Linked DNA regions of Ovis aries. The protein of the gene in region 2 purifies or fractionates together with the protein of the main gene of each other region. This does not show direct contact. Links are inferred from orthologs where the notes say so. Each region holds a gene or a part of one and is shown on either strand. Other genes may lie near its edges.

The links. The genes of interacting proteins can lie anywhere in the genome.
Region 1: the proteins of MCM2 (region 2) and histone H2B type 1-B purify together in Homo sapiens (affinity purification with mass spectrometry; 3 studies listed by BioGRID). This does not show direct contact. The link is inferred for Ovis aries from reciprocal best matches to the Homo sapiens genes MCM2 and H2BC3.

The regions. Positions count from the first base shown.
Region 1 is NC_056073.1:30,872,003-30,875,996, reverse strand, and holds the start of histone H2B type 1-B, read right to left. Parts: upstream 2,537-3,994; 5' UTR 2,491-2,536; coding exon 2,110-2,490; 3' UTR 1-2,109. UniProt on the Homo sapiens protein: Core component of nucleosome. Nucleosomes wrap and compact DNA into chromatin, limiting DNA accessibility to the cellular machineries which require DNA as a template.
Region 2 is NC_056072.1:59,783,081-59,786,723, reverse strand, and holds part of MCM2 (DNA replication licensing factor MCM2), read left to right. Parts: coding exon 1-166; intron 167-1,537; coding exon 1,538-1,672; intron 1,673-1,878; coding exon 1,879-2,070; intron 2,071-3,643. UniProt on the Homo sapiens protein: Acts as a component of the MCM2-7 complex (MCM complex) which is the replicative helicase essential for 'once per cell cycle' DNA replication initiation and elongation in eukaryotic cells.

The DNA of each region.
Region 1 (3,994 bases), on a different chromosome or scaffold from region 2:
TGATGCTTCCTAAGGCCCATTTGACTTCACATTCCAGGATGTCTGGCTCTAGGTGAGTGATCACACCATCGTGATTATCTGGGTCGTGAAGATCTTTTTTGTACAGTTCTTCTGTGTATTCTTGCCACCTCTTCTTAATATCTTCTGCTTCTGTTAGGTCCATACCATTTCTGTCCTTTATTGAGCCCATCTTTGCATGAAATGTTTCCTTAATATCTCTAATGATCTTGAAGAGCTCTCTAGTCTTTCCCATTTTATTATATTCCTCTATTTCTTTGCACTGATCCCTGAAGAAGTCTTTCTTATCTCTCCTTGCTATTCTTTGGAACTCTGTATTCAAATGGGTATATCTTTCCTTTTCTCCTTTGCTTTTCACTTCTCTTCTTTTCACAGCTATTTATAAGCCCTCCTCAGACAGCCATTTTGCTTTTTTGCATTTCTTTTTCTTTGGGATGGTCTTGCTCCTACAGTGTCATGAACCTGCATCCATAGTTCATCAGGCACTCTATCAGATCTAGTCCCTTAAATCTATTTCTCACTTCCACTGAAATAATCATTAAAGATTTGATTTAGGTCATACCTGAATGGTCTAGTGGTTTTCCCTACTTTCTTAAATTTAAGTCTGAATTTGGCAATAAGGAGTTCATAATCTGAGCCACAGTCAGCTCCTGGTCTTTTTGCTGACTGTATATAGTTCTGTAAAATATCAACTATTAGGAAGAAAGGAAGGGGCAAGGAGAAGGAAGATAGAAGCAAGCAAGCAGGCAAATAATAAGTTCTACCCCAGGAGATAATTTTGAAGAGACTGAGATTATATTACCACTAAGATCTCATCCCTCCAGAGAGCAATTCTGAAACTGCAGCTTGAGTTCAATTTTTCTTTCTTTTCCCCCCAGAGATGAGTGGAGGGGGTTACAATCTAAAAACCAAGATTTTTAACTTCTAAGACAAGCTTCTGTTTCACAGGTATGTTTTATGTATGCTGAGACAGGGAAGTCTTCTCATATAGCAGTCACCTAATTTGTGTGGGATCTGGGAAAAGTTCATTTAACTCCAAAATTTAAAAGTGGTCTTTTTGAGAAATTCTACTTCGAGTTTTTATTTCCTTATCCAAACACACTGATGTATGTCACCTAAATATGGTGCTTATAAACCAAAGAAAAGACTTTCCCCTACCTTTTTAATATGCAGTCAACCGCTGACTTTTCGTGGCTCTTCCCCTCATCCAGCCCCACTGACTCCTTTTCCACAACCAAGGCCCTTCCTATCAGGATTATTTTGGGAGTAGTATGTTCTCTTAAAAAATTTTCCCAAGAAAAATTAGCACACCTTCCTCTCCACCTGGGGCCCTCCTAGTCTGCAAATGAGGTGACACCAGATGGGGAGGTCAGAAAATTCAAACCATTTCCCCTCCTAGAATTGGGAGTGCCACACTTTCAACCTCTTCTAGTGCCATCCCAGGAAGGTAAATGACCCAGGAAACTGGAACCCAGATATCAGGAATGCAAGAAAAATGGAAACGGCTTTACATTGGCTGTTTCCATCACTATACAATTATAATGAGAAATTAGAAAATCTCATTTCAACCATGTGCAGAGTTTAATACCTTATAAAAGTGTCCGCGGTTTGCTAAAGGAACAACAGGTGATTTTGCTTAGTTTCCCCAATAACAGGGAGAAAACCCCACTGATTTGCCTTCCCTGCAACCTGCCCTGAAAAGACAACCTGCATAAAGATGCCTTGAGGATCGGGACCCTGAAATCCCCCCAACCACTTCCTTACCCGGAAGGAAAATTCTAATCACCATCAAAAATTTTAAGAGGCCTCGTGAAGAGTGAGCATTTCCAAGCATCTGGATGCTTAGTCCATGGGAAACGGGAAGATGTGTCTTTCGGGGAACGTCTCTTAAATGCCAAGAGACTTTTCAAGTAGCTAGAGGTTCTGGCTCCAAAATTGCTTCAACTATTAACCCCACTAGAGTAGATGTAGATGCTTAAATCAATAGGACAGAATTGCATTTACCGCGCGAGAAAACGGCAGTTACAGTCTTTCTTCGACAAAGTGGGTGGCTCTGAAAAGAGCCTTTGGATTAACTGCCTATGCAGGCACTCATTTGGAGCTGGTGTATTTAGTGACGGCCTTGGTACCCTCAGACACAGCATGCTTGGCCAGCTCCCCGGGCAGCAGCAGGCGCACGGCCGTCTGGATCTCCCTGGATGTGATGGTCGAGCGCTTGTTGTAATGCGCCAGGCGTGACGCCTCGCCCGCGATGCGCTCGAAAATGTCGTTCACAAAGGAGTTCATGATACCCATGGCCTTAGATGAGATACCAGTATCTGGATGGACCTGCTTCAGAACCTTGTACACATAAATAGAGTAGCTCTCTTTACGACTGCGCTTGCGTTTTTTGCCATCTTTTTTCTGTGCTTTAGTGATGGCTTTCTTAGAGCCTTTTTTAGGAGCGGGAGCAGATTTAGACGGCTCAGGCATTGTTTTGCCCTAGAAACGTTAGATGATAGCCTCCGCGACTAAGATTACCAGTATGAGTTCAAAAACCAGATATTTATAGCGCTTCAATGTAAATGAGGAATGAAAAATTCTCACTTTTGATTGGGTAAGATCAGTACAGGTTCACTAAGGTCTGGAGGGAGGGGTTTATGCAAATAAGGGATACACATATTCTCTTTCTATTGGATAGAAAAACCTTCGTCCTTCTGACCAATAGGAGACCTAAGTGGCGCATCCCTCTACTGTCTATTAAAAAAATATTTTTATCCCCCCTTGGTCGTCCAGGGTTTTTTTTTTCCTGCTCACAAGTTTTGCTGTTGAGTTTTACAAAGTAACTATGTCTGGACGTGGTAAACAAGGAGGCAAAACTCGAGCTAAAGCCAAAACTCGGTCTTCCCGGGCTGGTTTACAATTTCTAGTGGGGCGAGTGCACCGCCTGCTCCGCAAGGGCAGCTATACCGAGCGGGTTGGAGCCGGCGCTCCGGTGTACTTGGCGGCGGTGCTGGAGTACCTGACGCCTGATATTCTGGAGCTGGCGGCAACGCGGCCCGGGACAAAAAGAAGACCCGCATCATCCCGCGTCACCTGCAGTTGGCTAACCGCAACGACGAGGAGCTGAACAAGCTGCTGGGCAAAGTCACCATCGCTCAGGGCGGCGTCCTGCCCAACATCCAGGCGGTGCCGCTGCCCAAGAAGACGGAGAGTCACCACAAGGCGAAGGGGAAGTAAAGCCTAGACAAAAGAAGAAACTTTTTAATAAACTATTCAAAGACTTTTCACAGCCATCCACATTTTTATTAAAAAAAAAAAAAAAAAGCTGGTAGCCAGGTTATGCTGCGTAGGTGGTTAATTGTAAAAAGACAAATGACATTAAAACAAAGACTCTGGAAATGTTCTCACAAGCATTATTTTACTGCATAGCTGGCGAAACCTTTGTAATCCACAAGGGCCTTTATAAAGAGAAGGGGAGACTAGAGCGGTACTTAGTCTTGAGGATAACAAAAAGCAATTACTCTTGCCAAGATTATTTTTCTCTTGCCTTTGCTTTCAAAATTTTAAAACAATCCCCCCGCCCCCCCATGGAAGTTTATCAGGATCCAGTGTATATATGTCATCAATTCCACCTTTGCATGCATGTGATTTTTTAAAATCATCCACCCAGGGACCCTGGCATGTAGTTTTACAGAAGATAAACTCAGAATTAGGGGAGATCTGATGACCAAAGTTAGAAAGTGGTAGTCCTGGTAGTTCGAGATTTACTTAAAGCTGACCCAACTGTGGGGGAGAAAGATCAATTGTATTCAATTTAGGATTGGAGCAGAAATACTGACAATCTTGAGAACGTGTCAAGAATTAAGAATATCAGGTCCCACCCGTATACTGAATCAAAAGTTAACATGGTGGGTAAATGGCTCGTTATGTACATTGAAGTTGGCAATAAGATGAAACAATTTAGGAAAATTCCTTCAGGTCGCCTAGATTTAAA
Region 2 (3,643 bases):
GACCAGCTGCACGGGCGTCCTGCCCCAGCTCAGCATGGTCAAGTACAACTGCAACAAGTGCGGCTTCGTGCTGGGGCCCTTCTGCCAGTCCCAGAACCAGGAGGTGAAGCCGGGCTCCTGCCCCGAGTGCCAGTCAGCCGGCCCCTTTGAGGTCAACATGGAGGAGGTGAGTGCCAGCCAGACCTCGAGGTGGTCCAGATGCTTCCGTCTGAAACATCAGCGTTTACTGCTCTCTAGCAAATGGGAAGATCTGGAGAACTGCCCCTGCTCCCCCAGAGCCCTGCCCACAGCAAGTGGCGGGCTTGTCCTGACTCCCTGGGACCTGTCTGGCCTCTCGCAAGGTCACGATTGCCCTGTAGGGAGACTCTGCTGTGCCGTCTGCGGGAGGCCCTACTTGAAGGCTCTGGGCCTTAAGCGCCTAGACATGTAATTAATGCTCGGTTTTGTCCATGTTGGGGGGCCATCACGACCCCTGTGTGGGGTGCACATCTCTCCACCGTCTGTTGCCGTGAGTGTCAGGCTGACCCCTCACTGCTCCACAAATCTGAGAAGCGCCCAGGTTGGAGCTGCCTTGCCAAGGAGTGCCTGGCAGCCCACTGCCAGAGTCTGACCTGTTCAAAGTCAGGTGCACCTTGACTTGGGGAGGGTGGCTGCTGGGCGGGGCTCCAGGTGAGCCCCTGCCTTTGCCCAGAGGCCCCCACCCCCGCCCCCGTCTCGCTGGTCCCCTCCACTTAGGGTTACCCTGCCATACACATTGCTCTGGACGCCTCCTGCCTAGGAGCAGAGGCATGGGCTCTGCGTGCGGGGACAGGAACTCGTGGGGAGTGGTCCTCACAGTGGAGATCCCGGAGGGCGTGCTCGGTGCCCAGGGCGGGCCTGCGTTAGTGGGTCTTCAGCGCCGCGTGGGGGCAGGTGCTGTCCTGGGTCCTCTCTGGCCGATAAAGTAACAGCAGGCTGTCCGGCTAGGAGGTGGCCCAGAGGGTTGGAACTCAGGCCTTTTGACCCGGACCGCGAGCATGTAGCCACCGTCACGGAGCTCTTCTGGATGGTAGGGAAACGGGGCTGTTAGACTGCACGCACCGCGCTGCCCCGTGATTTGAGAGCAGGCCCACCTCCGGTGTAACTCGCTTCCTGGGTGCTGGTTTGATGCTTTTCGCGTGACCTGACTTCCCGTGTGGCCTCACCTGCAGTGTTCACGCCCCACCCCACGGGGTGGCACAGGGAGCCTCGTCCGCCGGCGTCACTCAGCTCAGGCCGCAGAGCAGCCCAGCTCCCACAGCCACACGCACGGGATGAGCTGCAGGGCCCGGAGCGGGCTATGCGTCTGTGGAGGGAGGCGGCCGGAGCAGAGGTGGGGTGGGGTGCCAGTGCCCGTGGCTCCCTGCCCTCTCGGCCTGTGTCTCCTCGTCACCAGTGAGGATAATAAGCTGCACTCCCTGCCCGGGGCCGCGGTCCAGTCAGGTGACGAGCCGGTGCTCAGACCCCGGCATCCGCCCCCGGGCAGGACGGCCCCTGAGTCCGTGTCTGTCCTCTGCAGACCATCTACCAGAACTACCAGCGCATCCGAATCCAAGAGAGTCCCGGCAAAGTGGCAGCGGGCCGGCTGCCCCGCTCCAAGGACGCCATCCTCCTCGCGGACCTGGTAGACAGCTGCAAGCCGGGGGACGAGATTGTGAGTGCCCAGGGCCGAGGGGGCTGGTGTGGGCACTGTGGCTGGGCAGTGGTCAGCTCTCTGTTGCTGGGCCGAGCTTCTGTTGGGGTTCAGCGGCCGGGTGCCACACTTCTGCTGAGTTCAGCTCTCTCGGACCAGGGGCCCTGGGGAGAGGCAAGGTGGGGCCCGCACCAGGTCGGGCCCCCTGACCTCTCGGCCTCCCCCAGGAGCTGACCGGCATCTACCACAACAACTATGATGGGGCTCTCAACACCACCAACGGCTTCCCGGTCTTTGCCACTGTCATCCTTGCCAACCACGTGGCCAAGAAGGACAACAAGGTGGCCGTGGGCGAGCTGACCGACGAGGACGTGAAGATGATCACCAGCCTCTCCAAGGACCAGCAGATCGGGGAGAAGGCAGGTGGAAGGTGGTGGTGGGGGGGCCGCTGCCACAGAGCCTGGGTGCCTAGGGTCGCACCCCGGCCACCGCAAGCCTCCGTCTTGGTTCCGGGCCTTGGAAGCTGGGCCCTCGTTTTGATTCCCGTGTCCACTGAGTCCGCGTGCCTCGACGCGGGCTGTGCTCTCAGGGAAGAGCAACAGGAGGCCTCTCGGAGCCCGTGTTGCGTCCGGAGGACGGGGGAGTGCTCGGGCTGGACCGGAAACGTGGAAGCAGGAGGAACTTGGCGGGGGGTCATCCCCGGTGTCACCCGCCTCCCTGCGATCTGCCTCCTGGAAAAGCGCTCCCCAGTGCGGGCTGTCGTTTGCCCTTGAACGGCAGGCGTGTTTGCGGAGCCTGGAGAAACGGGGTTTACTGTCTAGAGATGAAGATATAAGTGGTTTCCGAGCAGTGCAGGGCTGAGGAGTGCCCACCGAGGGTCCGCGTGTGAGCACGCTTGCGACAGTCTTGGTCGCAGGGCGCACAGTTCCTGTCCTTGAGACCTGCCGGGTCTGCGCTTGGCCCCTCAGGTCCCCCTCCCCTCCCCTCGCCTCCCACGTGCTGTCCACCTGTTGCCGCACTGCCCGCTGTCTCCCGGACTGCTCTCTGCCCGCAGCACAGGGCCCTGCACCCCACTGGCGCTGTTATCCATCCGCCGAGATTGGGGCCCCCCGGGGAATAGGACTCACGGGTCTGCCAGCGCTCTGGGTTGGGGAGACGCTCTGGGGCTGCGCCCAGGCCTCCAGCAGGGAGTTGGACCTGGTCGTTGCTGTCACGGGGCTCCTCCTTTCCTGGGTCCCAGTAACACCTCGGCCCCTCTCGCCTCCCTGAAGAAAACCGGTGCTGGCGTGACAGATGTGTTCAGACTCCCGATGAGCGTTTGGGCGGGTTTCCAAGGGCGGGGACTCCGTGTCCCGGGCACGTGTCAGCTTGCCTGCGCGTGCACCTGTTTGCGGGCAGTGGGGGGTCCACATGGGGGTCTGCGGCCCTCCCAGCCCCCTGCCCTGCCTGTGCCGTGGCCTCCCGCCCCCACCTGCTCTGCTGTTCTGCAGAGCGAGGCAGCTGGATTCTGAACAGGGTGGCGCCGAGGATGCCCGTCGCCGCCGAGCCCGGGAAGCTGCTCCCTTCTGCGTCCGCCTGTCCGGGCTGGCCTCTGACATATCCGGGAAGAGTCTGGGGGGGGCCTTGGTCCTGCCTGCTCCTTGCCCGTGATGCTCAGATCAAGGCCTCGGGTGGACGAGGCGACCCCCCAACACCCGCCCGTCTGAGCCCTGTGGGGGGTTGGCCAGCAGTGGCCTCGTGTCGAGTCTGCCGTTAGGGTGGGCATTCTTGCCAGCCACGGGGAACGCCTCTGCGACTCTAGAGGCGCGTTGAAAGGATTACAGGCAGGTCCAGAAGCAGTTAGGTGCTTTGACCCGCTCGGGCCAGAGTCTGCAGACCCGGCGACGGTGGGGTCAGCACACCCCGTGTGCCGGCGGGTTTTGGCGCGTGGTTTTCTCTGTCTTTAATGCTTGCATGAGTGATTCCTTAGAATTAGGTTTCACCTAGAAACGT